2 linked regions of the Caenorhabditis elegans genome follow. The protein of the gene in region 2 purifies or fractionates together with the protein of the main gene of each other region. This does not show direct contact. Each region holds a gene or a part of one and is shown on either strand. Other genes may lie near its edges.

Region 1 (16,400 bases), on a different chromosome or scaffold from region 2:
GTGGTATTCCTGCGGATCACAGCAAGCCATTGTTTTCGGTCCTTGGCTATAGTGGACCAGGGGGTGATGACTTCTCCGTCTGCGTCACGAGTGGTGATCTCCTTTCGCAGCGAATCAGTCCATCGCATCGGCGGCCTTCCAACAGGCCTTTTCCATCCATATGGGCGCCATTCTGTCATCAACGTGGTCCATCTTCCGTCTTTCCTTCTCGCAACGTGTCCAGCCCATCCTAGCTTTCTCTTTTTCACGAAATTGAGCGGATCCCTGACTAGAGACATCGTACGAATGTCTTCTCGATGGAGATCTCGTTCTCGTTGTTGAGTGAGTGTGATTCCCACAAGCCGTCTTTCTAGGGAGGCATGTGTGATTCGTACTCGTTCGGATAGAGCTTTGGTGAATGTCCAGGCTTCTGAACCGTAGGTGAGCGCTGGAAGGACAATTGAGTCGAACAGATTCGCACGAATCTTCTTGTCGGTGATGGAGTCGGTGGTGTTCTTGATTCCATTGAATGCAGCCCAGGCTGCTCGACGTCTTCGGTGGATTTCCGGCATCAAGTTGTTTTGGGCGTTGATTTGACGACCGAGGTAGATGTACTCGTCGACGTCGTCGAGCTGGGTGGTGGGGGAAGGGCTACCGAAGTAGACTTTACTGGGGTCAGCGAATCGGTTTCGCAAGGCTTTCGTCTTCCCAGTATTGATCTCGAGACCTACTTCAGAGCATTTTTGTACGAGTTCTTGGAGCATTTTGCTGGCAGTATTCGGATGATTGGCGATGAGCACAATATCGTCAGCAAATCTGAGGTTCGTTAGATTTCTGCCATTCACTCTCATTCCAGGGATCGTATCGTAATCCTCAGCTTCTCCTTTCAATTCAATCCAGGAAAGCTTTCGGAAAACGTGTTCGAGGCAAGCGGAGAAGAGATTCGGAGAGATGGGATCTCCTTGTCGAACTCCTTTGGTCACAGGTACTGCGACTGGCCTGTGGAATGGGGTAAAATTTGTGGTACAATTTTTATAACACTCTTTCAGTAGATCAATATAGGCTCCATCTGCACCTTGCTCGTCGAGACTTTTCCAGATTGCCTGGTGTTCAACACTGTCAAATGCCTTCTTGAAATCTATGAAGACAAGTGTCAGTGGGATCTGGTATTCCCTGCCGACTTCAAGAAGTCTTTGGAGCGAGTGGATGTGATCGATCGTAGAGAAAGACCGTCGGAATCCGGCCTGCTCGACAGGTTGAGCCTCATCAAGGGATCTTCGCATTCTATTCAGCAAACACTTGGTGAATACTTTGTAGAGTACGGGTAGTAGGCAGATGGGCCTATAGTTTTCCAAATTCTCACGGTCACCTTTCTTGAAGATGAGAGTGGTTTTGGAGGTTTTCCAGGGTTTCGGTACATTTCTGCTGTGGAGGTACCTGTTGAATCGATCCGTTATCAGGTCAATGACGTTATCGTGGCAAGATTTCAAGAAATCTGCACTGATTTTGTCTTGGCCTGCAGCTTTACCATTCGGGAAGGAACGGAGAACATGTCGAATTTCTTCCGGGAGAAACGGCGGTGGAGTTGGCGTGGCGGGTATTGAAGATGTTTGAGAGTTGCTCACAGCGCTTTTGAAGAGCTCCGTGTAGAACTTCTCAATCTCCTGCTCCATTTTCACCCTGGAAGTGATTCTTTCACCAGTAGAGGTTGATTTGAGGCATGGGATAACTGACTTATATTCGTTGATGTCCCTAGCAACTCTTTTCAAACTCTTTTTCTGGTTCGCAGCAGATAGAAGGCGAGTACTGGCAAAAGCTTCATGGTCTTTCTGAACTGCTTCACGACATTTATCTGAAATAGATTTGAATTGGGGATCATTTCTATCCATAAAACGTCTTTTGTTCAGCAGTTTTCGGGTTTCCTCCGAAAGTCTGTTGGATGAGTGGTTGGCCGGTCGAACGATAGCTTGGTCTTGAAGTTCTTTTAGTGACTGAATCAGATTATCATAGTCGGTATCTAAATCAGGATCACTCTGAACCGTGACTGTCGCTGAGATTGCATAAGCAAACGCCGGGTCCAACACTCTTTTCGGAGGTTTTCTCCGTCTGACCTGCTCCAACTTTGCTAGACAATTGTTGAAGTGGAGGTTACAGCGGAGTAACCTATGGTCGCTACCATTTGTGAAAGAGGGGAGTACAGTGGTATCTGTGACAAACTTTCCATTGGCCAGAATGTGGTCAATTTCGTGTCTGTGATTCCCGTCGGGACTGACGAAAGTCCACCGTTTGTGCATAGGCTTTTTGAACATAGAGTTCGTGTGCCACAGACGGTTGGTTTCACAAAATGTTGCGAGAAGCTCTCCAGTATCATTTCTTGGTTCCATGGCATGGGGGCCAATGTACCTTTCGTTGTTTTGTCTGCATCCCATTCGAGCGTTGAAGTCGCCGATAACAAGTTTATACTTGCTTCGGCACTCTCTGAAGACGTCTTCAACACGGTCGTAGAAGTCGCAGATTTCCTCAAGGTCTGAGTCCGCAGTTGGAGCATAGACTTGAATCACCGTGCAGTTGAATTTTCGGCTCACTTTGAAGGTGAGTAAGCCGATGCGGTGACTAAGAAATCGTACTTCTACGATTTTGGGAAGGAGGGTGCTTCGAACTATGAAGCCGACCCCACCGGATACAGAACTTTCATTCCGTTTGCCTAAGAAGACGCCGGTACCGTCGTGATGTATCAAGTGTGCCTCGGCTGCTCGTTTGGTTTCACACAATCCGATGACGTCGAATTGGATTCGCCTCGTCTCTTCTAGCAACTCAGCAAGTCGATCATCCGAAGACAAGGACCTGCAGTTGAAGGTGCACACGCGATAGTCAGTTCTTCTTGTTTTGTCCCGCGGCTTCTTAATTTCCAAGTCCGATTGACATATGGTTTGGACTCCGAGATTAGATCGCCTCTTCCGACGTGCTCCAGGAACTGTCTTTCCCTTTGCAGAGGCCGGATGCGGAGGACTGAGGCAGGATGGGTTGCTGTTTAGAGCAAAAGTTGTGTCTCTAGATACTCTATAATGACCTGCTAAGCCAATCTAGAGCCGCCCGGACAGAAAGTATTCGACACTACCTCTGGCCTGCGTGAGACGGTGTACTTCTTGGCCAGATAATTTGCACTTGGTTCCAAACCAAGCCACTCTCGATGTGACGAAATCATCGAGTTTGTTGAAGTGGTTATCTGTTGATCCCTTTCGCCACGAAGAGGCTTAGTACAGAAAGAGCCAGTCAAAAGTTAATCAATATGTAACAAACTTCAAACGAAAGGAAGTCGGATTTAACAAGTCGAAATGTGCATATTGTGCAAGAACCTCGATTGTAATATGCCCATCTTGCTTACAGTCGTTATGCGCATATCGCGAATTAACTGTGCACCCAAAAAATCAATCACACCTTGTCGGCTTACTTCCATGTCAGTTCAACCCTACCTACCACAGCGGTGCAACAATTGTCGAAGTTTCTAAACTTAGTGTTTTTGCCTCTGAGTTCTTTCCCACAATTTATTTATTCAAAAAGACAAAAAAATTGTTTATTTAAAATCTCTTAATGGACTTCTGCTTGATACTAGCCGTCATAACTGATCCACCCGAACCTGCGGAGCCCGCAATCTTCTCAATTGGCTCTTCCCATTCATCCACGTCAATCCCTACATTGTAAGTAACAAACGATCCAAAATCAAATGTAACTTTTTTGATGTTTATCTTCTCGCCCGGTTTGTCTTCTCCGTCCATCACCTGAAAGTTGTGGTTATTAATTTTAAAAAGTTTAAAACAAAAAACGCACAGCATATTCAGTAACATTGTTGGTGTTTAGAAGAATTTGTCCTTTCTCTTGAAACACGATTTTTCTGGTTCCGTCATGTGTTGAGGGCTGGAATTGATATGTTCAAAGTTGCCACGTAAACACAAAGACGTATGCCTGCATGCCTGCCTTCATGACCAATGCCTACCAGTGCTGTGCAGTAATGGGAAATTTTTCACCGGTTTCCGGAGAATTGTAACTTGGTTCCAAAGTCTATATTTGACGATTGCCAAGACTTTGGCAATTCTAAATTGAAGGCAGGCAGGCGGTTCAAAAACACACTTGAACTATTGAAATGTAAAACTATTGTAATAGTTTAAAAAAAGCTTGAATACATGAAAACATCCAACAGATAGAAATATCTTGTGAAAACTTTTGTAACGTACTGTTTCAGAATTGCCATCCTTTGTAGTTCTCTTTTGGGTTGGTTTTAGAAGTCGCGCTCGGTGTTTCATGAGCATTTCATTGCCTTCAAGGACCCTGAAAGTTATATTTGAGTTCTCCCATACAAACAATTATTAAAGTCCCGTAACTATCCGTATTTCTTCTATTAGTATTGCCCACCACAGTTTATCTTTGACATCTCAGTTGTCATATGTTCTAGCTTTTTTTAAATACCTGCCTTCGTACCTACGAGAAATCTCTTCAGGTACGCACTCAGACAGTATATATTGTGGGGATGCTTGTTTTTCTGTACTTAATATTCAAGCCAAGAAACACAAGTTGAAATTTCAAACAAGATTTTAAAAAAAACTAACATATTCGCATCTTCAACAGTATTTGTAGAAGTTTGTGTTGTAAAGTGGGACGGAGATGGTAAAACTGCCGACGGAGGATCTTCTTGCTTCGTTTGTTGTAACTTCATCATCTTCTTCTTTCTCATATTCTTCCTGTGTATCGACATGTATATACGAATTATTTTCATCAAGAGAATCACAGAAAGTATTTGCAAAATGAACGATGCCATGATGTATGCTCCAGTTTTCATAAAGAAGTCTCTAAAAAGATTAATATGTTTTCGATTTTTTTTCAAAATAGCAAAATTGAAAACGCTATAATATAGTGAAATTCAGAAAAATTAAATAAAAATTGATTCAAAAATGGCATACTGTCCTTCATCGTCCCAAAGTTCGACTATAGGTTTTTGAGATGTTGGTCCGATTTGAGATGAGATGTTTGAGATGTTTGTGGGATTGCCAGGATTCTGAGTAGTTAAGGACATTCTTCAATTACAGAATATATTTGTTTTGCCGAAATTTAATGTTCCGTGGAGAAATCTGAAAAACTTTTGATGTATTGTTGTTTCGTGAAAATATGAAATCAGTTTAAAGGAGCGTGGTGTTTTCGGAGTGGGTCTCGACACGATCTCAGTCACAGTCTAAAACGGATACCTGCAGGCGCACGGATTTTGTCCGATGAGTCTCGACACGAAAAATGAGTCAGAGTACCATTTCTTTTGCGGTGAGACCCATTCAAATAAATCCGTGCGCCTTTAATGTTTCGCAACTTTGAAAATGCACGTTTCCAAATGGTTTTCATTATTACCTAGCTCAATCCGATTTGATTGAAAACTGAAGAAAATCGAAAATGAATCTTATCATTAATTTCGATTCACTCGCGTCAAAGAATCTGATTTCAAAAAAATTATTGAATTGTAATCATTTATTTCTTTGAGTTTGTTATTTCTCAATGTATTTCTAAATGTGAATTGAAAGTTTTGTGAGCCGTTCATCCATTTTGAACGAAAAATTCGCTATATTCAATCTGAAACACTGAAACAACAACGTCCGTATCAAGAATTAACAATATGAAGTTTGATAGGTAAGTTAGTTTTCTTTCTTTAGTTACTTCTTTAGTTACGTTTTCTTTAGTTACTTTTCTATTGTATTTTATTTCCTGCTTAAATTAAAGAGGCATGAGTCTCGCGCATGGGTCTCACCACGCTAGCAACTTTTTTAAAAATAATGTCAGAAATTATCATTTAATTTGAATATCAAGATTCAATTACAATAACTGGTTGTCCGCGTGGCGAGACCCAAGACCGTAAGATATGGCGTATTTTCTCAACTTCTACGTAATATGAAATATTCTTTCAGAATTTCCATCGAAACAAGCGTCTTCACAGTGTTTTGTATACAAGCCACGATCTGCATAATTTGTTTCATCATATTTGTTGTTGGAAGAATTAAATTACAACGAATGAAAATGAAGAAATAATTTATTTTTAAATTCATACTAACGATTTGAGAGATCATACATAACAAAATCGAAGATTTGGTAGGAGCAAAATTAGAGTGAACAAGGTCATTTACAAAATAGGAAGACACAAAAAGTAACAGATAATAAAAATATTTAGTTGGAGTCATTGAAAATGAAATTAAATCTCGAAAGAGTGGTTGGAAGAGAGGAAATCAGTGGTCCATAGGCGGCTGCGTTGTCATAAAGTTCAAAGAGTGGAGCTGCGACGAGTTTGAAGTTTTTGGGAACGCAGAATGTTGCTGAAATGTACAAAACATTAAACTGCTTAGGTTTCAATTAGGGAAAAAATTCGAAGACACTTTAAATTTTGATCTTATCAATTTTTCAGTCTCTTACATTTTGAGGGCAACTGAACAAGCAACAGCTTGGTGTGCTCCTTGGGTTTTGTCACGTGCGCAGGGATGTACGGGTAACGGGGAGGATCAAAGTTTGGTCGCCACCAGTTGCCTATCTCATCCTCGATTGTCCATTCGTTTGTCTCCCCATCGGTTCTTCCGAGTGTCTCGTTTAGAAGACGTGTGACTCCAGATATCTCATCCTCACCAAGTTCCAATTCTCCACCCGGCCTGCAATTTTTTTATGAAACTTTCAGATTTTAATAGGAATTAATCTCACAATTTATAAAAGGTGGTACCAATCTGCAGGAGTAGGATATGTGGAAGTGAGTGCTCATGAACAATAAGCACCGCTTCAACTGATCTACGCATTCCCATCTAAAAAAATAATTGATATCGGTTGGAGACAATTAGAGAACACCTACCACTTCATATTCGTCTTTCATTCGTTTGAACCTTTCTGGAACTGATTTGTCTTTTTCTGCTTGTGCATCTTTAGTACCAAATGTGTAATTAGTCAACGGATACACGTTGATTGTTCGATTGAACGGAGGTTTTTCATCAAAGTTCGCTGGAGCCTCGGGCACAGATGCTGAAATTGTTGTTCTTTCGATTGTTGGCCAGATGTCTTCCATTTTAACTGAAATTATATTTAAATTTTGAACCAATTTAGAGTACACAATTAAATATTGACGAAGAGCAAATTAAAAAAAATGAATTGAAAACTGGAAAAAATTGTTTGAAAACAAAATTACAAAAAAAATGTACAGATGGCCTAGAAACAGTTTGTCCATGGGGCGCGGTTGCAACGTGTGAAAACTAGTCCGTCTGAATCAAATTTATAAAATTTTCACGCCTTTATCGTAAAAATCTAAAAAACAACAATATTTTGTTCATTTCTATAATTTTTGACCGTCTAAAACGAACATCTCAATGAGAAACTAGTTAAGACGCAGACGTCAAAGAACGCTCGCCTATCAACTACTAGCCAGTCACATTTTAAGTGTAAACAATCGGTAAGGAAGATAAAGAGACGCCAGAGAAAAATCACACATCACTTTTTTCATTACTCTTCACCTTGAAATTCTTTGCTCCCAGTATGATACTCTAGACATTCTTTGAAATTTCGTTTTTGAATCGTTTTGTTATGTTAATTATGTGAATTTATATCCAATAACACATGATGATCTTGCAGATAAATCGTTGACTTTGTATCATTCCAACTAGAAAAACCAGCAAAGACTCGTGATTTTTTTGCAATTTTCATGCCGCACGACTCAAATGAGGTAAGATTTTAAATAAATTTTGGAACATCTCTGTCATAAAATCATATTTTCAGGGAAAACAGAGGCCCAGTGTCGTTTTGTCACTATCCGCAGGCGCGATCGCCGGAGCTTTAGCCAAAACTACAATCGCACCTTTGGATCGAACTAAAATTTATTTTCAAGGTAAGAATTATGTCACTTCGAAACAATCGAAAATACACCTAATTTTTTGTATGTTCCAGTTTCAAGTACACGTGGTTACTCATTCCGATCTGCCATTAAATTCATAAAACTAACATATCGGGAAAATGGATTCTTTGCATTGTATCGTGGAAATTCTGCGACGATGGCTCGTGTTGTGCCATACGCGTCGATGCAATTCGCAGCCTTCGAGCAGTATAAAAAATTGCTGAAAGTTGACGAAAATGGGTGAGTTTTAAAGTTTTTTTCACACCGAGGTGGCAAATTTAACTTCAAAATGTTAATTTCCAGAAGTCGAACACCCGTGAAACGATATATAACAGGTTCTCTTGCCGCCACAACAGCTACAATGATCACTTATCCTTTAGACACCGCAAAAGCTCGTCTTTCAGTCTCTTCAAAATTACAATATAGTTCTTTGAAACATGTTTTTGTAAAAACATATAAAGAAGGTGGTATTCAACTATTGTACAGAGGGATTTATCCAACTATACTAGGTAGGAATTCTTATGAAAAACATCTTTCTTATCGATTTTTGTTGATTACAGGAGTAATACCATACGCTGGATCTTCCTTCTTCACATACGAAACTCTTAAGATTATGTATCGAGATCATAGAGGTGAAGTTGTGAGTTGAGAAATTATTTCTATACGTTATTATGTATGATAATTCAGGAAAATTCCTACTACCGAATGTTATTTGGAATGTTAGCTGGTTTGATCGGTCAATCATCGTCATATCCACTCGATATTGTGAGAAGGCGGATGCAAACAGGGCGAATTCCGAGTGGATGGAGTCCTCTTAGAGCTCTAATTCATATTTATCATACGGGTATGACTATTTTTTGAATTATAGTTTTTTTTAAACCTTACTATAATGACAATATAGTTCTATCAGAAATGGGCGGTTGCAATTAAACAAAATAACCTGCTTGTTCCAACATTTTTTTAATTGAAATTCAATGTCAAAGTATAGAAAATCACTTGATGTGTCCGAAAATCAAATTAATTCCAGTTGAAAAATTTGAGAAAGTGCTTAAAAATGATCTGAAAGTTGTCAATTACTGATTATCGAGTTATCTAACTTTGTTTTTGGGCAAATATCAACTTTTTGGATAATTTAAGTGATTTTCTATACTACGATTTTCTAAAAAAAATATATGGGGTGAACATGGCGCAATATTTATGATTTTTCAATAATTGCCGCCGTCCACCTCTAAAACAAGATTTTGGAATTTCTAAAGTAATTTTTTATAGCTACACATAAAACTCCGAACAATTCACAATATTTGAGTGGGCTTTACTAGAATAAACTATACAGCAAACAATACAAAAACATCAAATTTTCAGAGGGTTTGAAACGAGGATTGTACAAAGGATTGAGCATGAATTGGCTGAAAGGACCAATTGCAGTCGGAGTCTCGTTCACCACTTATGAAAAAGTTCTGGAACTTGTGGGTCATCTAAAACGATAATCAATGGAACTCTCTCTTTTCTTACCGCCAAAAATATATTTTCTCATGATTTGTTTTTTTTCTATTTCGATTTGACTTTAATTTTTACTGCATTTGTTTTTTTAGATACCGCTAATTTTAGACTGTTTAGTGGATAGTGAACGTGAATATTTAGAAGATTTTTTTCTAATCCAAAAATAATTTTTTAATACTCAAAATCATATTTCTTCTGTGAATACTCAATTTTTTTAAAAATTTCTCGGTTATTCTTTTCCCCTCTATTTCATTATCAAGTGCCAGTGTTTCCCCGCCAAATCAACTTTCCCCGTTTTTAGTGATTTTCAATTTATTGCTCAATTCATAAACGGTTTTTATTTTTATTATTCAACAGTAAGTGTTGAAATTTTGATTTCAGGAGCTTTCATCGTCTTTTCTTGGTAATTTAGCCGTAAATTTGTATTTTTCGAAAATTTCTCAAGGGTTTTCGACTTTTATCATTAATTTCAGAATAATTTATATACGATGCCCAATTTAAACGCTGTGATCGCACGTTAGTTTAGTTTTTGGAAATACATAACTAAATTCACGATATTTCAGAAAATATTTCAAAAGGAGATGTCATTTGGGTTCCATACAGAAAAGATCCTATGTGGCCAGCACTGGTTCGTTTTTTTTATAGAAAACTGAAGATAAAAATACAATATTCCCTTTCTGCCTCAACGAACTCTTTTTACAGGTCAATAATGCTTATCCCAAAAAAGTCAGCTACAGCTTTTTCCCTTTGGCGCCTGGTGTCGATGAAACGAAAAGAAGCCGATTCAGTTGTGCTCCAAAAGTAAGATCAAAATTACCGAAAACACGATGCAACTATTCTCGAATTTCAGTTAACATACGCACTAGTCACCACCGAACCTCTTCCGGAAAATGCAAATTCTGATTTAAAAAAAGCACATCGCGCGGCTTGTGAATATCTTTCAAGTAATGGGAAAACTCGTGGTTCGAATATTCAATCGCTTGGTGAAGCTGCTGGTGGTTCAGAAAAAATGAAGAAAATGAACGGAGAGGTGACGAAGAACAAAACTGGAAAACCCGAAAAACGGAAAAAGAAAGTTGATTCTGAACAACAAGAAAACGAAGAAGATGATGAGGATTTAATGTCACCAGGTAAATTACACCTTTACCGATAAAATAGAATTAACTAATAAAAATTCCAGTTTCCAAGAAACCTTCGTCTTCCGAACGCTCAACACCATCCGGATCACAACAACAACCTCCAATTACCGAAGAACAATCGAAATCTATGATGAAAATGGTACGAGATAGTTCAAAATTATAATTTTTTAACATTCAAATTTCAGATTGATGATCGTTTTGAAGTTCTGATCAATGAAATCTGGAAGAGTGATGAAGTGGCTCAATCCAAAAACCAGACTATGAAGGATAAAATGACGATCAAATTGAAAAACAATCAGTTTCTGAAAGGTAATTTACAAAAAAAGTTTAATTTTTACTAAAAGCATATTTTTTAAACCGAATTTTGTGATATTTGCTTCATTTTTTATATTTAAAGATTTAATAATTTCAGAATCCGACTACGACATAGTCTTCGAGCGAATATTCAATTTTATCCGCATGCAGAATCCGTCACTTTCCTTCATTTCCACATTCAATATCACATCTTCTCACATCATTCCACACATACTGATCACTTGTTATTCAGCGTGTAGAAATTTGGATTATCAAACTTCAAAAGAAATTTTCTATCAACTAAATACTCGCGTCTTAGGGTATGATTAAATGAACAATTTTAAGTTCTCATTAATTTAAAAAATTTTCAGCTTGGATTCATCAATGAGCATTCCTGTCACTGATCACCTGGAAGAGCTTTGCCGCTTGGCATGTGATGAAAGCGATGCAATTCAAAGTTAACTACCTAACTAGTTATATATCTCAATTATCACTGTAAAAATGTTTCATCATGATATTATCCCAAAATACATACCAAACCAACTTATTTGAGCTATCACGTGTTTGCATTGTCTTATAAGTATTTATCACTTTATTGTTTTATAATGATACAGAAAAATTATGCATTTGCGTTCATCCTGTGTACTAAATAAAATTTCAGTTCTCGAGAACGAGCATGGGGACAAGATTTCAAAAGACGGAACAGCTACCCAAACAAGAGGAAATGTTTTCGAAGAAATGAGATGAAAATGGCGAGTTGAATCACACTATCACTAGGGATGGGGATGGGATTTTGATATGAAAGGGGAGAAAAGCAAAACATTAATAAATTAATAAAATTATTTTAAACAAAGGTGTTAATTTTCAAGCGGCATGTGTAGTCTTATGTTGATGAGCGGCTTCTTCTTGCTCTTCGTAGAAGGTAAGCACCAAAGGAAGTACACAGAAGATCAAGAGAACTCCTGAAAAAATGAATTCTCAAATATCAAAGATTTGACATTTTTATACGACCAAGAAAGAAAAAACCTACCTAAAACAACCATCCAAACAGAAATAGATGACGAAGTTGGGGCTCGAGCGGTTACAAAATGAAAACCAGTGACACCGTGACTTTCTTCTGGAAGAGCTTCTCGAACTTGAGCTGAAATTTTTCTATTTGTTTTTTAATAATTTTTATTAACTTTTATTCACCTATGTTAGTATCAGTTTTATGGAAAATATCCTCGACACTGGGATCTCGTGAGCCTCGATCTTCTCGCAGAAGTGCAGTTCTGTCATCAATATCTGTAAATCTTTAGAAATTAAAGCTTTATCTCAGCAAAAAAAAACTAACCAATAAGAATTTCGTCTTCTTCGTCTTGGCTTAAAGCCGATTGTACGCCTAACGCCATTCTCATTCGGCTAACTGGAATTTTCACTTTTGAAAGTGCCATAAAATCTTGCTCGGATACCATATTATTCACTCGTTTTATTTCGGCTACCTGAAAAATATTGCAAATAAAATATTTTATTGAAACCGACAGAACTCACATTTACTTGATATTTTATTGCCAATTTATTGAGTGTATCGCCGTTTTTTACTTTTCTTTCAATAAAAACTACATCCTTGTATGTGGGCATATCGTTTTGGAAACCTTCACTCGATGAAGTCCTTGCTGCACGACTTCTCATTGCAAATTGCTCCACTGAGCTGCCTTCTTTCATTGCCATTTTACTGAAAATTAAATAAATAAAAATAAAATGTATTTTTCGAAGTTGTCAAAATCCACGAGACACTTAAAAACATCGTGTATAAATCAGAGACGCAGACACAAGTACAGTAATTTTGAAGGCGCCTATCTCGAAACCATAAAATGTGTCCTAACGCGCGTGTGGATTTACGGGCGGAACAGAATCAGCCTTCGAAACGTTAAACTTGTTCAATCCTGTTTTTTTTTATTTTTCTGTATTATTGTAATGATTTTGCCTTTTTTCAGCAAGTAAATTGATAAAACAACACCTTTTACTAAATTTTCTTACATTTGACACATAAACAGCTTTAAAACGCTTAACAACGAAACAATTTCACTAAATAAAAATTTTAACGTTTCAGAGAATGTAAAACTATCGGTTTAATCTATTTTCAGAGTTTCAGCGAACTTAATAATAATCAAGTTTTTTTGCGAAAAAATATATCCAAAATTTGACAAATTATGTCACATTTTCAGATGAATTCCTCATTAAAAATTAAAAGAAAATAGGAAAACGTACCCATGGGTGCACCTTTAACGTCAACGTTTAAACAAGATTAAATAAATACTTTAAAAAAGTGTCCTAGAAGAATGTTATAGTTTTTCACTAATTTATTTTTTAAAACTTGATTAAAACGGAAGAAGCTTCGAAAATCTTCTTTATAATGCATTAATGTCTTATCTCTCAAATTACGCATTAATTGTACGATATCAAGTGAAAGAGAAAGTCAGATGATAGTACATTTAGTACAGTTTTTCACCAAAAATTATGTGTTCCATTATTTAGTTTACATACGTGGTATAATTTTAAATAATCAATAAAAACTGAAATCCACGTCGCAGGATGCCGTAGCTACAGGTGCAAAGAGATTATATCTGGCTAGCTGTTTCCACGCAGCGGGACGCTGCGACAAACGCACGCAAGGATCCGGAAGAAAAAGAGAAACGAAACAGAAAAAAACAATATGCAATGTGTCTATTGTATACCCGTCTCGCACCCTCCATTTGCTTTTCTATTTTTCAACTGGCTTTTGCTGGCCGCCCTTTCCAATGATCGATAAATTGCGCTCTACCGAACACCTCGGCTGCCCTGCTACCGCCCTTTTCCTTGGCTCTTTAATTTAAGGCTTAACATATTTTATTAATGATTCCTGATGTTAAATTTTGATTTTCCAAAATATGATCGTCTAGATAGTCTCAAAAAATGTGCATCGTAAATACTTTTTCATTTTCTTTCTCGCTCAATTTTTCCTTCCATCTCAAATATTTTTGTTTCCAGGGTTCAGAATGCTTGGCAAGTGCATCAAAAAGGCGTCGTCTACCGTCGGACAATCCATCAGATACAGCTCCGGAGACGTAAGAAACCTCGAAACTTTATAAAAAAGCCAGTTTTGTTCAGGTTCGCCGTGTCACTTTAATTCCAGGAGACGGAATTGGGCCGGAAATTTCAGCTTCTGTACAGAAGATTTTTGAGGTGAATTTTCAATTATTTCGTGTGTCTTACATCATGTTATTTCTAGGCCGCCGATGCCCCGATTGCTTGGGACCCAGTTGATGTGACTCCAGTTAAGGGACGCGATGGAGTCTTCCGTATTCCAAGTCGTTGCATCGAGCTTATGCACGCGGTTAGTTTGAAAATTGTACATTTATTTCTGATTGTTACGTTTTTCAGAACAAAGTTGGACTTAAAGGACCACTCGAGACCCCAATTGGAAAAGGACACAGATCTTTGAATTTGGCTGTGAGAAAAGAGTTTAGCCTTTACGCCAACGTTCGTCCATGCCGTTCCCTTGAAGGACACAAGACATTGTACGACAATGTCGATGTTGTCACAATTCGTGAGAACACAGAGGGAGAGTACTCTGGAATTGAGCACGAGGTATATTAAATTAAATAATAAATGTATCACCTAATAATTGTTTCAGATTGTCCCGGGAGTTGTTCAATCTATCAAGCTTATTACTGAAACTGCTTCTCGCAATGTCGCCAGCTTCGCCTTCGAGTATGCTCGTCAAAATGGGCGCAAAGTTGTGACTGCTGTCCACAAAGGTAATATAAATTGAAAAAGAAAATTAAAACAATTATTTTTACAGCCAACATTATGAGACAATCCGACGGTTTGTTTTTGTCCATCTGCCGCGAGCAAGCTGCCCTCTACCCAGATATCAAGTTCAAGGTATGAATAATAGAATTTAAAGAAAAACCACTTCCTGTTAAAATTTATAATCTATAATTTTAGGAAGCCTACCTCGACACAGTTTGCTTGAACATGGTCCAGGATCCATCACAATACGATGTTCTTGTCATGCCAAACTTGTATGGAGACATTCTTTCCGATTTGTGCGCTGGTCTTGTTGGAGGACTCGGAGTCACCCCATCTGGAAATATTGGAAAAGGAGCCGCCGTATTTGAGTATGTTTTTTGTTAAAAAATGCTTTGACAAATGAAATGAACTCAGTTTAGAATTTTTGTTAATTTCTGAAATTTCAGATAAACACATAGAAGTGAAATCGAAAGCAAAAAATACGAAATTATAAAAGTAGGAAATACTAAAAAAGTTGAATTTGATGAAATCTTGCATTTTTTTAATCTTCTCAATAAAATTTAAATCTAATTTTTTTTAACCTGAAAACTTTATTTTATAGCGAAATACAATTTTTTATTCAAACAAAACTTACCAAATTTCTTTACAGATCCGTTCACGGAACCGCCCCAGATATTGCTGGACAAGACAAAGCAAACCCAACTGCTCTTCTTCTATCTGCCGTCATGATGCTCCGTTACATGGTTTTTATATCGTAGTCGGTCTAAAAATTTTACAAGCTCATTTTCAGAACCTTCCACAACACGCTGCTCGTATCGAAAAGGCTGTATTTGATGCAATTGCTGATGGACGTGCCAAAACTGGAGATCTCGGAGGTACTGGAACTTGCTCTTCATTCACCGCTGATGTTTGTGCCCGTGTTAAAGACCTCGAATAAATGCTCAATGCTACTTCCCCTTCTATTTTCTTTTTCTTATTGTAAACAGGCTGTTAGACACTAAAACACTTTGATGATTAGTAATGATTTAATGACACCTTTTTTCGGTTTTCAATTTTGTATAGATTACCCACCAGTCCATCCCGCGTCCTTAATCGCTTTACTCCTATCCCATTGGCATGAACCACAAAATCGTTCGATAAGTCTTCTCTGATTCACTCGCATAACTATAAGCACCCCGAGACTTTTGTTTTTTCTTCTTCTACACCATCTTTCGATTCCCATTATTTCTGTTCATTTCTGGAAATTTTTATATGGTTTTTTCTTTTCGAGATTTTATAGACAAAGAAACTAAAAAAATTTATTAAAGCAATCGTTTCTACATAATCACAATAAGTTACAGCGTCGCGTGGATTCGGGTTACAGAAGTCACGAAAATCAGAAGAGTTTGAATGATACCCATTATTGCACAATACCAAGTGCTCACAGCCTGAAAAATGTTTTTTCCCTCAACTTTTTAACTTCTTGAAAAGTAAATTTTTTTTAACGTACATTTTTCGAAGCGTACATTGCCAGTGCGAGAACCATTGACGTAGGAGCACCAAAAACGAAAGGAATGATGAACATCATTACTGAAAAGTTGAAATTATGAAAAAAAAAAGATTTTCAGAATCTTACTGATAAATGGAATTGGAATAAAGCAAACGTATGGATGTTTTCGAAGAGTGAAAAGGGAAAGAATTGTGGCTCCGAGACTAATTACCTGGAACAATTGAAACATAAAAAATAGTTTCTGAATAAAATATGTCATATTACCCGTAGCAAATTATGCCAAAGAATACAGACCCCAGTTTCGACACGACTAATATACTTGTTGAGTGCA
Region 2 (17,372 bases):
CAGGGCGTCAAAAGTATCGAATGACCGCCTCCAGGCACATCCTACATCGTTGTCTGCTCCCTCTGATAATCTGTGTACTATCTCGAGTTGCTCAAACATTTTTATGAATTTATTATTATTATTACTACTACTACTACTTCTACACATGGCACGAACGAAGCAAAAAAAAAAAAGAAAACTGTGACAAAAATGTGGAAAATGAATGAAAATCGGTGGAAGCGTTTTGTGAAGAATTGGGTGGAAAGAAGACGGAAGAAACTGATGGAGACAATGGGATTTCACGAGCAAAACAATAAGAATTGTGAATAATTGAGCTGTTTTTAAAGGATGGCCTCTCACACGGTCGTAACGAAAAGGAGCCTGGAAAAGACATGAATTGAACAAAGAACATTATTAAAATTGACACAAAAAACGGGAGGGGTTACACTTTAGGTGGTATGCTATCAAAAGTTAACTAGAAAATCGGAAAGATGAAAGGATTTTACTAATCTCATTAGATATTAAACATCTTTTTAGAGCAATTTCGATTCAGTATAACGTTTTAAAAATAAAGTATCGCCACTGGGAAACTTCTTACAGTCACTAGATGTTTGTTTCTAAAATTGCCAACCTACCAATACTTTGACTGAATATTTTTCCAAAATCTAGAAATGTTCAGAGAGTTCAGCTATAATATTTGACCATGTTAGACTATTGATTGTGTGTGTCTTCTGACAATACTCCAGCTTTAAAAGTGGATTAGTATTTTAAGACTAAATAAATGTAGATGTAAAGTATTTCTCAAATAATTTTTGGCATTATCGGTTACTCAGAAAAAATTCCAAAACATCTTGGTCTGTATTTTTGTGGAGGATTGCAAAATTTAGAGGTCCTGAATGTTAGAGACTAAAATAATTAGAGAAGATTTTGACAGTTTTCTAAATTGTTTACTTTCTCTGCATTTTTTCTTTTTTTTTCTCTACATTCTTTTTCTCTATTTTGTCTACAGGTGCAACTGCCGTTGTGACCCAGACGCGAAACTTTGCAAGACCGTGTGCCGTATTTTCTGTTTTCATCGAAACAAATCTCGGCGTAAAATTATTAGAAAAATAAAATCCTCTGTTCCTGAAATAAAATCTGAAAATATCGGGAACTCCTCCTCCCGGGTTTCCATCAACACACAAAACGCAAGGATAGCCGTTAAATTCAGTTTGTGAGAAGTGAGAAAAATCCTTTCTTTTCAAATTCCTATTTTGACCCTTTGCTCTTCTTTCAATTCTATTCGATTGTAGTAGTTTACAACACAAAAAAAGGGAAGAAAAGGATTCCATTCAACGAAAACAAGGTATTTCGCACTGATGAAAGGAAGAGGGAAAAAAACGAAAAAAGAAAGAACAAAAGAGGGACAAAATGAGTAGTAGATGAGAGCCAAATTGGCGGTGAGCAAGAAAGAAGGGCTCGGTGCCAAAGTGGAAGGAGAGCTTGGAGTAATCGTGTTTTTGAAGCGCATCTCAGTCTGTAATTAGTCACGAAGACAGAGAAGGCGGGGCAACCGGAAATAGAGAAAAGTGGAAGAAGAAAAAGAAAAGAAAAAGATGGAGATGATTCTCCAATTTCAGAAGCTTAACTCAGAAGCTTAACATAGATGGAAATTATGGGCATAAACATCAATTAAAGTGATACTAGACGTCATTTATTTCGTTCAAGCAATCTGGGAAAAAATATTCATATCATCATAAAACAGAAATGCATCATTTTATGGATAATTTTGGTTTAATTGTGTAAATACTCTAGATATTTGTAATTCCATGGCTGTTTTAAATTTGAAAACTTTTCGGAATTTCTCTTATGTGAATAGTTTTATTCCCATTGTACATGGTTAATTTTGTATTTTTTAAACATTATACCAAATTACTACATTTTAATGTTGCGCTCTTGACAGTTCATAAAAAATATAGTATCAGGAAAGTTTTACAACGATTGTGGAATAAAAAGACTATTTGAAGTTGTTTGAAAGCGATTTCTGAAAGATTCTACCAAAAATTACACTAAAGATATAAACCTTCTACCTTTTAAAAATTGTAAAATCCATTTAAGATCTCGGTTACAGCCTTTTAGTTTAACGAATTAAATTTTCTATTTTGCCAAATTTTTTAAACCTCTGGTTTTCTTTTTCCCCTCCTTTTGCAGAAATTATGATCTAATTTACAGTAACACCGTAATAATTTTCAAAGCTTTTAGAATTAAAACGAGATAGGACAAAGACCATCTTATTATAAGTTAGTAGTAATTCAATTATGCTAAATTATTCCATATCTGAGCAAAGTTTCCGTATTTCACACACATTCTCAAAACATCCCAGAAAGTAATTAAAAAATTATGCTCCATGTTTCATTTTCCCTGAATGTCGTGCAATTTTAATGAATTGAGTGGGACTCCGTAATGTAAAAAATCATAGATCCTATAGAACTTTTGACTTCATATTTCTCTATTTGCTTTTATCGGGGTTTTTTACAAATAAAATTATATGATTCCAACAATTCTTATTAACCTTAAATTTATTTTGAAATTTATTTCTGATAAATTTTCCTTCCATCCAACTAAATTCAATTTCCAATTTCAGATTTTTCACATCTCAAATTATTGGTTTTACATATGTTCTTTATTCAAATCAGCTATTCAAATTCAAATATAATCCATCTCATGATTGGTTTCCGTGAGCATTTGGCCCAAAAGCTACTTGCACATTCTAATCGCATCTTCGCGTTGCCCCTGGTGACTGAGAATCGGAAATTCGCTCACTTTTTCCCACACGACACCCTTGGTCAGCCGCTTTGCGTTTTCCATCGATGAATTTTCACTGTTTTCACTAAATAGTTTTTATAAATGTTACGACTGGAGAGAGCGGGATTATCCATCTGTCGGCAGTTTAATATGGGTGCGATCAGCACTCAATTTGTATTGGAAATTTAAAATATTCTATGTTTTGTAGGACTTCCACTCTTGAAGATCGTATGTTGAATCCCGTGCAGATTTCATTTTGTAATTATTTCCCAACAAGAAATAACTAAAAGATTGTATATTGAATTCCAATAAGATTGACTGTGTATGACCAAAGTTTTAAACACGAATCAAGATCTCAGAGAATAATTAACAGTATTTTTATAGAATTTTTAACTTGCTACAAAAATTTGATTTCGATGCAATTGTTGCCCTTTGTATTTTGAAAGTATACTATTTTTGAAGAGAGAGGTAGAAAAATCTAAAGATAACATTGAAAAGTATTTTGTTAAGCAAACAACTTTCAATGTTTGAATGCTTGTTTTGTCACTTGGAGCTTGTATTTTGTAAATGTTTTCTGTAGTTTTGATTGAAAGCTTTTCCCATCTTCACAGACGATGTATTGCACAGTCTTATTTTCGGTAAAACTCAAAAACCCGAGGCAGAAACTTCAGGAGTTAAAAAATTAGACTTAAATATGTATAGAAGAAACATAGAACCTTTCGATTTGCTCGAACTCGAACTTCAAATTCTTTTTTTTTAACCTAGAAAATGTTAGAAAATGTTCGATGTAAACTGAATATGCACTGCACTTGTAACTGCATTTGTTGTGTGTGTGAATCACTTGGAAGTTCATGTAAATAACAGTATATAACTTCAAGGGTTATAAAAGGCACACCTTACATCAAAAATAATTTTCTTTTTTCCTGCTGTTGTGATTTTGCAATAAAATGCCCACATTTTCCAAACAAAAATGTTCTCAAAGTCTTAAACCCTGTTCATCAGCCACCTCGTGAATATACTTAACAATTCAAGTGACTCCATGACTCCGCCTACATTCGTTCCCTCATCTAGCTCACCGTTTTAACATTCAGACTTTTCTCATTTCCCTCCGATCGTCTTAAAATCCTTCTTCCTTTTTCTCTCCATTTCCGTCATTTTCGTCTTCTTTTTCCTTTTTTTTTCACAATTTTCCTTCTTCTTCTTCTTCTTCTTCTTCTTCAACTCAATAGAGCCTTTCCCTGTGTCTCTTTTTCTCCTTTCTGCCATCTTCACTTCTTTCGCATATTTCTCTATTTCTCTCATCCCAACGACGCGCTCTTTTCGGTTAATTTGGAGCTTTCTCCGTCCACCGCAGTCGGGGTTGAGCTGGGAGCAACGAGAAGGCCGTGAAAACATTGTGCCAGAGACTGCGCTTCCTCTAAAATTTCGTAAAAACTTTTTCACGCCTTTTCTATCACATCATCTCACCTCGTCTTGCCTCTTGAAATTGAATATGTTTTGGTCGACTTTTTAAATTTATTTATTTGCTTTCTTTCATACACACCAAAATTGTTTGGAAATTTTAATTACATGCAAAAATTTGCACATATTTTTTTGTTCTGTTTGTTTCAATTCCTACTTTCAATTTGTAGGTTATCTAAACGATACAAAATTTTCAGAATTACAAATAAGTTCAAATAATATTTTTTTAAAAATACATTTTCTGTTTAAACACTACAATCGACTATTTATGTAGATTTTCTGAAGAAAATTTTCTATTGCAATTTCTGCGTTATAAGTGCCCGACTTACTAGTCATAGCTTTATCTAGGGAATTATTGAAATAATATGATATTTCTCTAAATTATCACCTAATCCCATCCTGCTCAAACCACAGAACCGTCGAATTACGAAAAGAAATATATAAGCAGTAATATATAATTGTATGAATACGAGTTACTTCTCTTATTCTCTTCCCTTTTTCATAAAATGTAAGTGCCACTTATAACACGACTTCCTTTATGAATTCAATGATCTCCACGTGTTCTTTTTTTCATAATGACCACTCTTCGGGAACACTCATTTTTTATGCTCTTTTTCCGGCAATCGTCACTTTTCGTCAATATTGACTTTTCCTTGTTCCTAAGATGACCGGTTCCTCTTTCTTGTGCCTCGGTCTGTCGTCATTTCCTCAAAACATCACTTTCTTCAGAGAGTAGAGCTCCAGTCATGGCCACTACCGCTACTCGTCATCAAGATTCTAAATTGAGCGAAAAGGCAGAGAGCATTCTGGCTGGCTTCAAGCTCAACTGGATGAACTTGCGTGATGCAGAAACTGGAAAAGTTCTCTGGCAGAGCACAGAAGACATGGCTGACCCAAAAAGGGAACACAAAGGTAATAAGAATTTCAAAAAAAGTCTCGGAATAAACCAATCATCACAAACACTATGCCTGGGGCGGTAAGTAATATCGTCACTGACAACACGAGGGAACGAACGCGAGAGCGTCTCCCCCCAATGCGCGCGCACATCCACTGCGCCATTCTGCCACAGCTAGCAAGCAACACTGAGCGTGTAGTTAAGCCTTCACATGTCTTTTACCGCTGGTCTCTAATGCAATGCGTTTTTCCTACAAAAATAGAATTGCTTGAAGCCAACAAATAAAAACTAATGGATTGCAGCACACGTGCCAAAGAATCTTCTAAAATGTCGTACGGTGTCTCGTGAGATCAACTTCACTTCATCAGTCAAAATCGAAAAATTTCGACTCGAGCAACGCGTTTATTTGAAGGGAACCATCATTGAAGGTAAGATAGAATCACTCGAATATTCATTATGTTATTGCACGCAATGGATGAATAATATTGGCTTCTGGTGATGAAAACTAATTATGTATTCCGACTTCAGAGTGGTATTTCGATTTTGGATTTGTCATTCCTGATTCAACAAACACGTGGCAAAATATGATTGAGGCAGCTCCAGAATCACAAATGTTCCCACCATCTGTACTCAGGTAAGTAAAACAAGTGCAAAAGTACTAGATTTCTAAGCTTCAAAGCTTCACTTCAAGATACTAGAAACAGAAACATGCAAACCTTAATAGTTATTAGGTAAACATGACCGAGTATCGTAATCAAACATTTTTTATATCAGTCAGCGTTTTGGTAAATTGGCAAAAATTCAAAAATTGGGTTTTTGAGTAATTTCAAACATTGCTGTAGGATTTTACCAATACAGTGTTTTTTATAAAAATTAAAACAGACTTTCAATATTTGTACTGGTGAAAACTGAGTAATTACCGATAGTTTTTTTTTTGAGTTTTGAAACGTTTTAGTATTCTTTATGGTATGTAATTTTCGTACCACAGGAGATGCTGCACACCATCTTATATATAACTACTTAATCCTACTATAAAAATAACATTAAATTGTGTTCGAGGCCTTGACATTTCGAACGATTGAAAATACAATCTCAATTTTTCAGCGGAAACGTCGTCGTCGAGACTTTATTCTATGATGGAGATCTTCTTGTAAGCACGTCTCGAGTCCGTCTTTATTACGACTAATACATATACATTCATATCCATTTTTCCCTTCTAATCCTTCCCTGTTTCTCCATGGATCTCTCTTTTTTAATTCCTAAAACAATACATACCTAATTTTAATATTCAATTTCAGAATGAAAATCTTCAACGGATTTATTTATTCATCTATGTACATATGAATATATTTTACAAATTGAATAGCTCAGGAAAATTGTCCCAAAAATACATTTAGATTGCAGTGTTCACAAATGAAGCATTGACACGTGATAGCTTCTGGCGACTCATGTCGTTCGACTGAAAAATAGGAAGAACTGAAAATAATTGAAAAATGAAAGGACATGCATCAATCTTACCACAATTGTGTTTGTCCCGTTACGACGGAAACGGAGAAGTTCGTGGCACCGGCGACGGAATTCGAGACGGAAAAAGTAAAAGATGGGAAGGTTGAAACAAGATTGGAAACCATAGAGAAGATAGGCAACACCTGGAAACATTAACTATTTGAAAAAAATAATTTAAAGTTAATTCTTAATTAATTCTTAAGTTAATTAAGAATTAACTAGCTTTTCTTTCTAGTTTATATGTTATTATCTCATTATTCAAAGTGATATTGAAATGTTATTTCAGACTTCAATTTTAGTGTTTGACAGTTCATTTTGGTCAAGGCTTTGACAAGAGTTGAACTAGTTAAATTGGTTGAACTAGAACAGTCTTGACCAAGTCTTGTCAGACTTTTGAAAATATCTTAGAATATCTAAAATATCAAAAAATGAACTTTCTTTTCATCAATTGGCTCAATTAATGGCAAATATTCAAACCATGACTTCAACTATATTCCCATTGAAGTTCAAACTTTAAAACATGCTCGACACAAGTTTTTACGACTACACAATCAGTGAAGCATTTTGCATAAAAAGGTTCACTAACCAACAAGAAGTACGTCGAACTCATCGGAGTGCCACTGATCAGCAACCAGCACAAAATTAGGCACACTGACCATCAATACATTAATACCGGATAAAATTAGAATAGCCATTTGTTTCCGTTTCTCTGTGTGATTCAAGAACTGAAATGACAATGTTTTTATAAACGCGGTTTAATCGTTAGACTTTTTGTGACTAAATTCTAGCGAAAACAACGAACTTTGGAGCCGTGGGATCGTAGAAATAAGTTGAGTGTAACTGCAAAAGCTATCATGTACGAGCATGCAATCCAGCAATAATGAATAGTTCCATATACAATTCCAGTTGAATTCATTACTGCACACATTCGATCATCGTTTATTGAAGGAGAAGCAAAGGACACAACAAATGCAATGAATGTGAGGAGCTGGAATAGTTTGGTTTGGTCAGCAAGGAGTTATACAGTGAATATTATGGTGTCTCTACAGATATATTAACTTTTATTTCATCAGAAAATTGTGACTGTCCGTTCCTGAAAAAGTTGTCTTTCCTAAATTGGAGCCTTTTGATAAATTCAGCAAGTTGAACACAACATGGCCTTTATTTTTTAAAGTTAACCATTTTATTAGATCTACAGTACCACCCCACAATTTCATTGAACATCTTGTTACAAAAACTCACTCCACAGAGAACAATTCCAAATGATGACAGATAAAGTCTGTTTCTCCATGTCCAACGGCTCCGATACCAGCTCACTCTGTTCACGGCAAGCACTCGTTCTACAGTTAACAAACAGTGAAATGTTGCAGGTAGTTGACCACCGAATAATAAGAATACTGGCCACAAGTATGCAGTCATGCATTGTGAACTACTTGTGTCAATATGATATTGATCTCTTAACAATAGATCCAATCTTCCTGCGCCCGACATTATGAATGAAATTCCATTTATCTGAAAAATGTTGTATATGCAAATAAAACCAAGTTTACTTACCATATCCGAAAGTGACAATAAAGTGAAAAACACGAATCTCTGTCTAAAATCCTTACTGGAATTAAAGACAACCAGACAAATAGTGTTCGGAATAAGTACAAGTATTCCACATATAATATAAAGTCGACTGCGAAGAAGTATTTCTCCATCACCTGGGAACATCCTCTGAAAAATCATGACTACTTTTGGAGTACTGGATGACGAAGATTGTGACGATGAAACAAAGGATGAGTTGCTGGGCGGTTTAGGCACGGGTCAGGCACCATGTGCTCAGCACGTTTTAATTAAATCTTTAGAATAATGGCTAAAGCATTTGTGGTTTGAAGGATAGAAAATTCTTGGATCTATTTTAGAATTTTAGAACATTGGTGATCGGCTAGGTGTACACTTATATGGCTTTTGATACTAGAATTTTACATCAGTTAATTTATTAGAAAGGGAAACCCAAGTCTATTCTTTGCTTCGTGACACAAACTTCCATGCCACCTTGCAGAATGAGAGAATTCAAGCGAATATGTTTATCTTGAACAACAGCATCCTTCTGTCAACACGTGTTGGGTGGAGCCTGAGGTGATTGGACTACATATTTTTGAACTCAACGGTTAAAGATTCTCACAGACGTAGTATCCCAGATTCCTGGAAAATAGTGTGACTAAGTTTCATAAAAATGGAATAAACAGTATTTTTAATGTGCTTTGTTTCCTCTGTTATTTAGAATGCTGACAAAAATGAAAGAGTCGAAGCTGGAGGTACAGACCTCATACACAGTATGAACATCCCTGGTAGTTTTGTTTTTAACTTCTAATTAAAAGATCCTTCAAAGGATCTTTTTCAGAAATGTTACAAGTGGGGGCTGAATGTTTTAAAAGAAATAGAGCACCACATATCAGTCACAATCCAGACAAAACTAGATTAATCGTGTAAGCCCAAATTGGAGTTTTTTTTTAACGGAAACTCCCACTGAAAAGGTGTTAGTATAATGAGGCTTGTTGGAAGGTGGGTCGACCAATTCAAAATATCTCGATTTCTAAACCCGAAAAAACAATTCGAAGTTTTCCACCTAGTTTGGGAAAAACTGTCAAATTTTTTGGAGCACCTGGAGAACCTGGAACTCTAAAAGTGGATCGAAAACTGTCATAGTACAGAGATAGAGAACATTCAGAAAAATTTGCTTATTTTGGGATTGTCGACCTACTTGCCTCTTTTCTTCGTTCTGGCTGGAATGATATTAGCACTGTTTAAATTTAAGTTTACATATCGCGCGGTTTGATCGCAGACCAATCTTTTACGGTATCCCTAGTTGAACATTTGATAGTTTGTAAGAAATGGAAACTTTTTAAAAAACTTTTTTGCAATTTTTCAAGGTTTTTTGGACAAATACAGCGGCACAATAGTATTTTTCGCAAGAAAAAGTGAGATACATGAGAATAGAATACATCTGATTTTTTGATTTTTAATCCGACTAAAAGTATTCTTGACTATGAACCATATGTGCCCGCCCATCTCGTGCACCTGCTGAATATTTCATAATGAATCTGTGGGAAAAACGTGGTTTTTTTTTGTTACGTTCTTTGTGGCTACCAGAAGATTTCATAAATAGATCCGAACATCATGTGCTACGTGCCGATCATATGAGAATTTAAAGAACTTGCAACTTTTCTATAACTCAGAGAACGTTCATTTACAGCTGCAATAAGGAACGGAGTGGACCAAAGAACCTTCATGTTTCTTAATTAAGATGAGCATCAAGAGACAAACACGTGGTTGGAAGGAACCAAACTTTTTCTGAGCAACCAAAAATTCTAATTTTGTAAAAAAATAAAGAACTTGGTTTTTGAGCTTTTTGAGCATTGGAATAAATATTGAAATCACGAAAAAGCCTTCTCAAAGTCTAGTGACATACTTTTTCAAAACACTCTGAGAAAAATGAGAATATCTTAAGATCATAGTAACAAAGCATGGAGCAGGTTTAAAAATACGAATCACTGGAGGTGATTATTGTTCAATTGATTCTTGCAAAAATTTATTTAATTTGGGTTTATTTACCAACATGTGAAAATAAAATAACTCATTGAGCCGGGTTCAAATGCTCAACTCAAATTGAATTAGCTGACGTTTTCAAAAAATTTTATTGATTTTAGAGTATGCATATCTTACAAAATTATTTCTCATTGAAATTTTCAAATCCAAAATTATACAAGCCGTCGCTTGTTTTAGTATGGTACATATACTCTCCGAACTCTAATTGACCTCAACAAATCGACATTTTTCCCTTAACTCCCCCACCCACTTCTTCAAATCAATAGTTTCCAATCACTAACTGATTCATCAAATCGGATCATGCAAATTCAAACGAGAGTATATGTCCATTTTCCAATTTCTCTTCATCATTCTCCACAAACATGTCGGTGTCATCCGAACTGCCGACGGTAGTCTCAAAACCTCCAAAAACTCGCACAAAACTTCCAATTTACCTGGTTTCTGCAATTGTTGTGGCTCTTGTGATAATTGTTGTTGTTATTAATATTCTCCACAGACTTCCTGATACTCCTGATAATTCTGACAACACAAAAACTACAGTATCCTATTTAACAACAAATGCAGTCACGTCAAACCCTATAACAAGTCCATATGAATTCACTACAGAAGAAAATGTGATAACAAGTACAGCTGGAAGCATGTCAACATCTGAAAGTGATTCATCCTCGAGCAGTTCAGCAGAAGATCATAAAGATGGAGAGAACAGTACATTAGTACAAGTGACAGTCACAACTACAGTAATCCCAAGTACTACGGTAGAGGAGACGACTGTACAGTTCACATCGACATCAGTTGGACCATCAGAAAGTGGTAAATTATCTAATACTTTTAAAGGAAACGTTTGATAAATGACTGACTTTTCATGAGAACGGTACAACTGTATGGTTAAATTGAAAGCCTTAAAACAGAAATTAAAAATTGTTGAATTAAAATGCATTTCAGCTGTCTCTACTTCAACTCTAACATCTGAAATTACAACTGACGTCTCTGAAGCTTCAAGTGAAACCTCAGAAATACAATTTCCAACTTTAATTCCTCCAATTGGCGTCGAATGTGGCAAAACTTGCAGGTTCGTCGAGTGGATCGAAGATACGATTCATATTATTTCTGGTTATTTTGACAATTTGGTCAGCCAATGATTTCATGTACATACGTAAATAAACCGGTTTAACTTATTTTAAAAATTAGTATTCAGTTATTCGAGAATATGTTCAAAACAATAAAATTTCAGTGTTTCTGTTGTCGAATCGATTCCACGTGGAATATGGTTTGCAGACCGAGTTCACACAAAGAATGCATTTGAATCATGGGCTGAACTTCTTGGAACTGCTGAGAGGTTTGTCTGAAATTCATTTTAAAATTAAATTTTGAAGATTTTCAGGGAGATTGACATTTTTGCATTCAAAATGAATTTACGGGGAAGAGAATTGAAATATGATGTAGACAATTCCACATTTGAAGGACGTCAACTCTATAATATACTTGAAAATCAGGCGAAATCAGGAGTTTTGATTAAACTAATTGATTGTCAACCACCAGTTATGCCAGAATATGATTATGACGCTGATGAATTAGAGAGATTAGGTTAGAGTTAGTTGTAGAAAATTAAATGAATTATAAAACCAATATTTCAGGATTAATTCAAAGACAAGGATTGGATATGAATACATTGAATGGTGGATCAGGAGGTGTTCAACATAGTAAAACGTTTATTGTAGATGACAAGCATTTATTTGTTGGAAGTATGAATTTCGAATGGAAATCGTTTTCACAAGTAAGTTCTTGAAACAATTATCATGTACAGTTTTTAACCTATTAATTTGAACAAATTACGTTAATACACACAAATTTTCATATGTCCGATTTTACAAAAAATGTTGTATAGTAATCAGAGCATGGAGAATTGAATGGTTTAGTAAATATTATATTCGGCTCTACAAAACCTCATTCTTTCTTACAGAAAATTGAAATCGGACTGGAATTCCACGACTGTCCATGCATTGCCAAAGATGCTTCCAGATTATTCGATCAAATGTTTGGATCACTCTCTGGTAATGAGAAACTCGAAACTGTAGATTTCCAATCACATCGAATTGGAAATTCCACTTTCCAATTTCTGGTAAGTTTCCTTTTCCAGAATTTTATAATAAATCACAAATTTAGGCATCTCCATCTTTTTTCCTTACTTCTTCTCATAGCTGGGATCTCGAAGCACTTTTAAATCTGATTTATGAAGCAAATGATTTTGTTGATATTTCTGTAATGCAATATTTCCCTTCATGGATCTATTTTAAGAATAGAGAGTAAGGAAATTTAAAGATAAAAAAATGGTCATTTTATAGTGTTCAGGTTCTTCTCTCAAATCGATAATGCCATCCGAATGAGTGTTTCTCGTGGAATTAAATTCCGAATACTTGTATCTGGAGATCAAAAAGAAGAAGAAAAACTTATGTTTTCCTGTTTGCATAGTCTTTCTGTTTTACATTCTCCAACGGAAAATAGAAATATTCAAGTGGTACGTTTATTCATATCATCCAGACGCGAATATTTGTGCTAAATATACGGTACCCGGTCTCGACACAACACAATTTTATCAAGAACAAAAAGGCGTGCGGCTTTAAAGAGTACTGTACGTTTCAAATTTCGTTGATGCGGAATTCAAAAATATTCATTGAGAAAATCTATGGAAAACACGATTAAATTTATACCATTTACGGAAGTTTGAAATTACAGTACTCTTTAAAGGCGCACATCCGTTTGCAATCAACCAAAAATTGTCGTGTCGAGACCGGGTACCGTATTCGTGGGGCGAAATTTCGCGTTTAAGTAATATTCGAAATCTCCTTCGCAATTTGAACATTTATTAAATATAAATATTTCAGAAGTTCATTTTAATTCCACAAACCGCTCAAGAAGCTTATAAAGATCGTAAGATGCATGCAAAATTCATGATTTCCGAATCAAGAACCTTCATTGGTTCATCGAATTATGGACCTGAATACTTTTACAAATCAACTGGAACTGCAATTATTGTAGACGAAGAACCACATTATGGAGATATCAATAGACAAATAAAAGCTGTATTTGAACGGTAATTAAATATAAAAAATATTTAAAATGTTTCATTGTCTTCAGATACTGGCATAGCACGTACTCACAAAAACTTCAAAAATACGGTGAATCAAAAGGTTATCTTCCAAAAATTTCAAAACCATCGAACCCATTCTCCGGATGGTTTGGGTTTGATCAAATAGGAGTATTTAATGAGAAATACTCTGCTGACGGACTAGTTTACGAGAAGAACCATGGAGAAGATCAGATTCTCGATCCGCTTATTTTCATTTAATTTCGTGTATAAAATTTCAATTGATAAAATTTATTTTCCGTTTTTTATAGCACAAGAAATAAAATATTCGCACCCGAAAATTCAAAAAAGAAGGCAATTCAATTCTAGATACATACAGACTGGCTAAAAGAGCTTCTTACGATAAAAAAAAACAAGTCTAGTTTACAATTTACAATTCAACTGGATGTTGAAGAGTGAGTCCTCCATTTCCACAGACTTCCTTCGCCAATGATTCAATTGTTGCTACCTTCGAAGCATTCTCAACACCACTTCCGGCATCCTTCAGGAATCTGTTTGATGATTTCATCGCCTGAAAGAGTAAATATCGAAATTAAAACTTAAAATTTGGCAGTTATCAAAAATTACCTTATCAACGTAGTAAGTAGCAACTTTGCGTTCAAAATCAGCACTTGAAGATTTGTTCTTGATGGCATAGGTGGCACGAGAAAGAACAGCGGCAGAGCTGTAAATGTTGATGGCAGCGTCGGCAACACGGTGCATCTCATATTGACGATCTACAAAAATTAAAATTAAAAGCAGTTCAAAGGTATTTTATTACCAATTATTCCCTTTTTATGCTTCATGAGTAATCCTTGAACTGTTTGTCCAAACAAAGCAATTTGCTGATCCAATACTTTAGCTGAATCTTGAAGACTTGCGTCGACGACTTGCCCAAAGTTGGAGCCAGTGTTTCCTCTGAAAAATACAGTTTAATAATTCTAAAAATGTGATTTCACAAACCCGGTAACTCTTGAAACAGCCAACCCAATAAGGCCCCCGACTCCAGAAGCTTGCTCGGCAAGATGCTTTCCAGCATGTTGTGCTCCAGTAAGAGCAATGAAGAGGCGGAGAACATCATTGGCTCCTTCAAAGATTCTGAAGATACGAAGATCTCGGAGAACTCTTTCAAGACCAGTCTCGCGCATGAATCCCATTCCTCCGTGAACTTGAATAGCATCGTCGCATACAAGCCAAGCATTTTCTGAAGCTAGAACCTTGCCGATAGCTGCTTCAAGTTGATACTCCTTAATTCCACGATCCATGTTTGATGAAAGCATATAGACAATTGACTCTGTTGCATACAGTTTCGAGATCATTTCTACCAGCTTTTCTTGGATATTTCCAAATTCTTGAAGTTTCTTTCCAAACTGAACACGAGTGGTGATGTGATCGACAGTCTTCTGGATACAATGTTTCATAGCTCCAGTACAGGCAGCTGGAATTCCGAATCTTCCGTTATTAAGAATGTTCATCGCCACCTTGAAGCCTTCTCCTTCTTTTCCAAGAAGATTTTCAACCGGGATTTTTAAATTATCAAAGTGAACTTCAGTTGTGTTCGATCCCTTGATTCCCATTTTCTTCTCTTGTGGTCCACTGGTGACTCCACCAAACGCTCTTTCGACAATGAATGCAGACATCTTGTCCTTTGTTGAGCCATCGGCCTGCTTGACAGGAGTCTGAATAATCAATTGTGAAAGTTTTTCCAAAAAATGAAAATAAATTACCTGAGCAAACACAGTGAAAACATCGGCGAATCCTCCGTTCGAAATCCAGATTTTTCCACCATTCAAAACGTAGTGCTTACCATCAGCAGACAATTCAGCTCTCGTTCTAACTGACTGAATAAATTTAAAGTTTATGAGAAATTAATAATATTCTAGCTTACACTAGCATCAGATCCGGTAGTTGGCTCGGTAAGAGCGAAAGCAGCAAATTTGCGTCCAGTTGCCAAATCGGGAAGATATTTTTGTTTCTGAGCATCCGTACCCTCGAGAAGGATTCCTTTGTAGCCAATCGACTGATGAGCACCCATGACAACACCAAATCCAAGATCGTAAGCTCCAACAATTTCAGCGACTCTGGCCATCTGAGAATTGTTGAATCCGGAACCTTCAAGCTCTGGTGGAACGAGTACACCAAATGTTCCTAGCTCAGCGAATTGGTCCAAAACTGCTCTTGGAATGTCAGAAGTCTCGTCATTTCTGAAAATAAATAAATTGATCATGTAAATTTAAGATTTATTATTCACTTTACGACGTCATTAACTTCGACAAGCATCTTTTCCAGTGGAGACATCACCATTCCAAGAGTTTCTTTCTGTTCGTCAGTCATATTCAGAGGATACGGAAACACCTGGAAATTGGCAGTTTGAACAGGTCCTGCTAAAATTCTCAAATACCTGGTCAGTCACAGCTTTCCCTCTGAAAAGATTCATGACAAATGATGGACTGTCCACTGCAGCGACCTTCTTCGGTTTTGCATCTTTTGCAGCAGCAGCAGAATGCGAAAGACGAATGAATCGTGTTTGGTTGAGCCGTGCAGATTTACTCAGCGTTGACAGCATCGTTTCTCTGGAAGAAAAAACCAATAATATAGGTTTCAATCAGTGAATCAGTAGGGGGTAAATAGCGATGACGGAGATAAAGAGTGAAGAAAACAACTTGGGGGTCGAACGGTGGATAGAGCAGAGACGCAGCATGTGAGAGAACATAGAACACAGACATAACAATACTTTTTTACACTGAACGTCCAAGAGCAATCAAAATAAATAGAATTCAGAATAAGTTTTATAGAAAAGTATTTAGCATTTTATATGAACGCAAAAAAGAACGAATAGGTTTTTTGCTTTTTTTGGATTACATAAAAGAGTGTTTCATAAAATAAGAAGTTTAAAAGTTAACTAAAAATAACTGGAAACATGGTTTGCTCAGTATTTTTCGTAAATTTTCCATAATAAACTGATTAATCGCCAACATACACAAACGATGGAGAGGAAACGTGGAGGACGGTCATTGTTATCTCTTGTAGACTTTGCCCTATGTACTTTGAACGGCCCTGGCTACGCACTAGTGAAAAGACAATGTGATAAAATACACTTTAGCGCAGGTTCGATGAAATTTTCAAGAAAAACATGATTTTATAGCTCTACGGGTCACCTCATGGTACTGAAAAATTCGTATGAACACTTGTTGTCTTATATTTTATCTTTAACGGCCACAAAATAAATTAAAATAGAAAAAAAACGACAATTACAGAAGTTTTCTGCATCGTACTCTGAAAGAAAAATGAATCCGCAATCTGTCGTCACGGTGTTACGGTGGTGTGTTCACACCGTCGGCACTATATTTGACGGCTCATGTTTTAATGTTTTTTACATCTGAATAAATCTGTACATTATAGAAACGAACCGTATGGAATTTGGAATTCTTTCAATGTACGAAAGTGAACGAGTGAAAATATAAACTAATTTAGCGAATGCACAAGTTTGAAAACGTGTGAATTTTTCGGAAGGCTTTTACGCGAAAAAATAAGCTTTATTTTTTTAATTAAAGAAAGAGAAATGGTTCGTAGAATGGATACTGTAATTTAGCTATTTAACAGTCGACAAACAATCCTTGGTTGTTTAAATATCGGAAAAAATAAATCGACCTTCCATGTTAATTTTATTGAACAGACGACAAGGCGTCATAGGTATTTGATGAATGTTTCTGAATTAAGAGAAATCTGAAACTGGTCTATTAATTTTTGTGCGTGCTTCGCTTCAAAATTCAAAACGAAGGAAATTTATTCGATCATTTTCTATAAGTTGAAACCCAAATACTATAGTATACTATGAACACGTTGTACATCTCTCCCGACAAAAGTCTAGTTTTTATATATTTTTTAATTGAAATTTAAAGCCTTGTATACTTTTTTTGCAAATTATTTAAAACATCTAATAATTATCAGTATGTGGTAATAATTCTTTTAGTGCTTATTTTTAAAAAAAAACTATTGATTTCACCCTCGTTATGTAGTCTGCAGCGT

What was found.
Region 1: the proteins of C27H5.6 (region 2) and cfim-1 fractionate together in Caenorhabditis elegans (co-fractionation; one large-scale study listed by BioGRID). This does not show direct contact.

The regions. Positions count from the first base shown.
Region 1 is NC_003279.8:8,606,047-8,622,446, reverse strand, and holds cfim-1 (Cleavage and polyadenylation specificity factor subunit 5), read right to left. Parts: upstream 7,060-16,400; 5' UTR 7,055-7,059; coding exon 6,845-7,054; intron 6,798-6,844; coding exon 6,700-6,797; intron 6,651-6,699; coding exon 6,421-6,650; intron 6,324-6,420; coding exon 6,178-6,323; 3' UTR 6,043-6,177; downstream 1-6,042. Other genes in the region: F43G9.8 (uncharacterized protein), read right to left, coding at 3,558-3,758, 3,808-3,894, 4,212-4,305, 4,584-4,823, 4,935-5,047; F43G9.21 (uncharacterized protein), read left to right, coding at 5,633-5,646, 5,922-6,042; slc-25A42 (Mitochondrial coenzyme A transporter SLC25A42), read left to right, coding at 7,685-7,705, 7,759-7,867, 7,927-8,113, 8,177-8,382, 8,434-8,513, 8,561-8,717, 9,236-9,360; F43G9.4 (PWWP domain-containing protein), read left to right, coding at 9,862-9,889, 9,937-10,001, 10,076-10,174, 10,224-10,503, 10,554-10,651, 10,698-10,821, 10,925-11,126, 11,178-11,263 and 1 more; lmd-1 (LysM domain-containing protein), read right to left, coding at 11,671-11,768, 11,837-11,947, 11,998-12,090, 12,140-12,287, 12,337-12,516; idha-1 (putative isocitrate dehydrogenase [NAD] subunit alpha, mitochondrial), read left to right, coding at 13,824-13,892, 13,936-14,010, 14,057-14,161, 14,209-14,415, 14,462-14,585, 14,630-14,712, 14,776-14,948, 15,230-15,323 and 1 more; F43G9.13 (Vesicle transport protein), read right to left, coding at 15,915-16,007, 16,070-16,149, 16,196-16,280.
Region 2 is NC_003280.10:7,178,855-7,196,226, forward strand, and holds C27H5.6 (G_PROTEIN_RECEP_F1_2 domain-containing protein), read right to left. Parts: upstream 8,357-17,372; coding exon 8,180-8,356; intron 8,138-8,179; coding exon 7,868-8,137; intron 7,614-7,867; coding exon 7,428-7,613; intron 7,351-7,427; coding exon 7,212-7,350; intron 6,769-7,211; coding exon 6,638-6,768; intron 6,579-6,637; coding exon 6,513-6,578; 3' UTR 6,424-6,512; downstream 1-6,423. Other genes in the region: pdl-1 (Phosphodiesterase delta-like protein), read left to right, coding at 4,971-5,136, 5,422-5,547, 5,648-5,753, 6,224-6,305; E04F6.4 (PLD phosphodiesterase domain-containing protein), read left to right, coding at 10,582-11,029, 11,162-11,288, 11,451-11,555, 11,601-11,803, 11,854-11,993, 12,180-12,338, 12,383-12,522, 12,569-12,734 and 2 more; acdh-12 (Very long-chain specific acyl-CoA dehydrogenase, mitochondrial), read right to left, coding at 13,735-13,875, 13,932-14,080, 14,125-14,261, 14,307-15,022, 15,071-15,184, 15,232-15,547, 15,595-15,698, 15,745-15,909.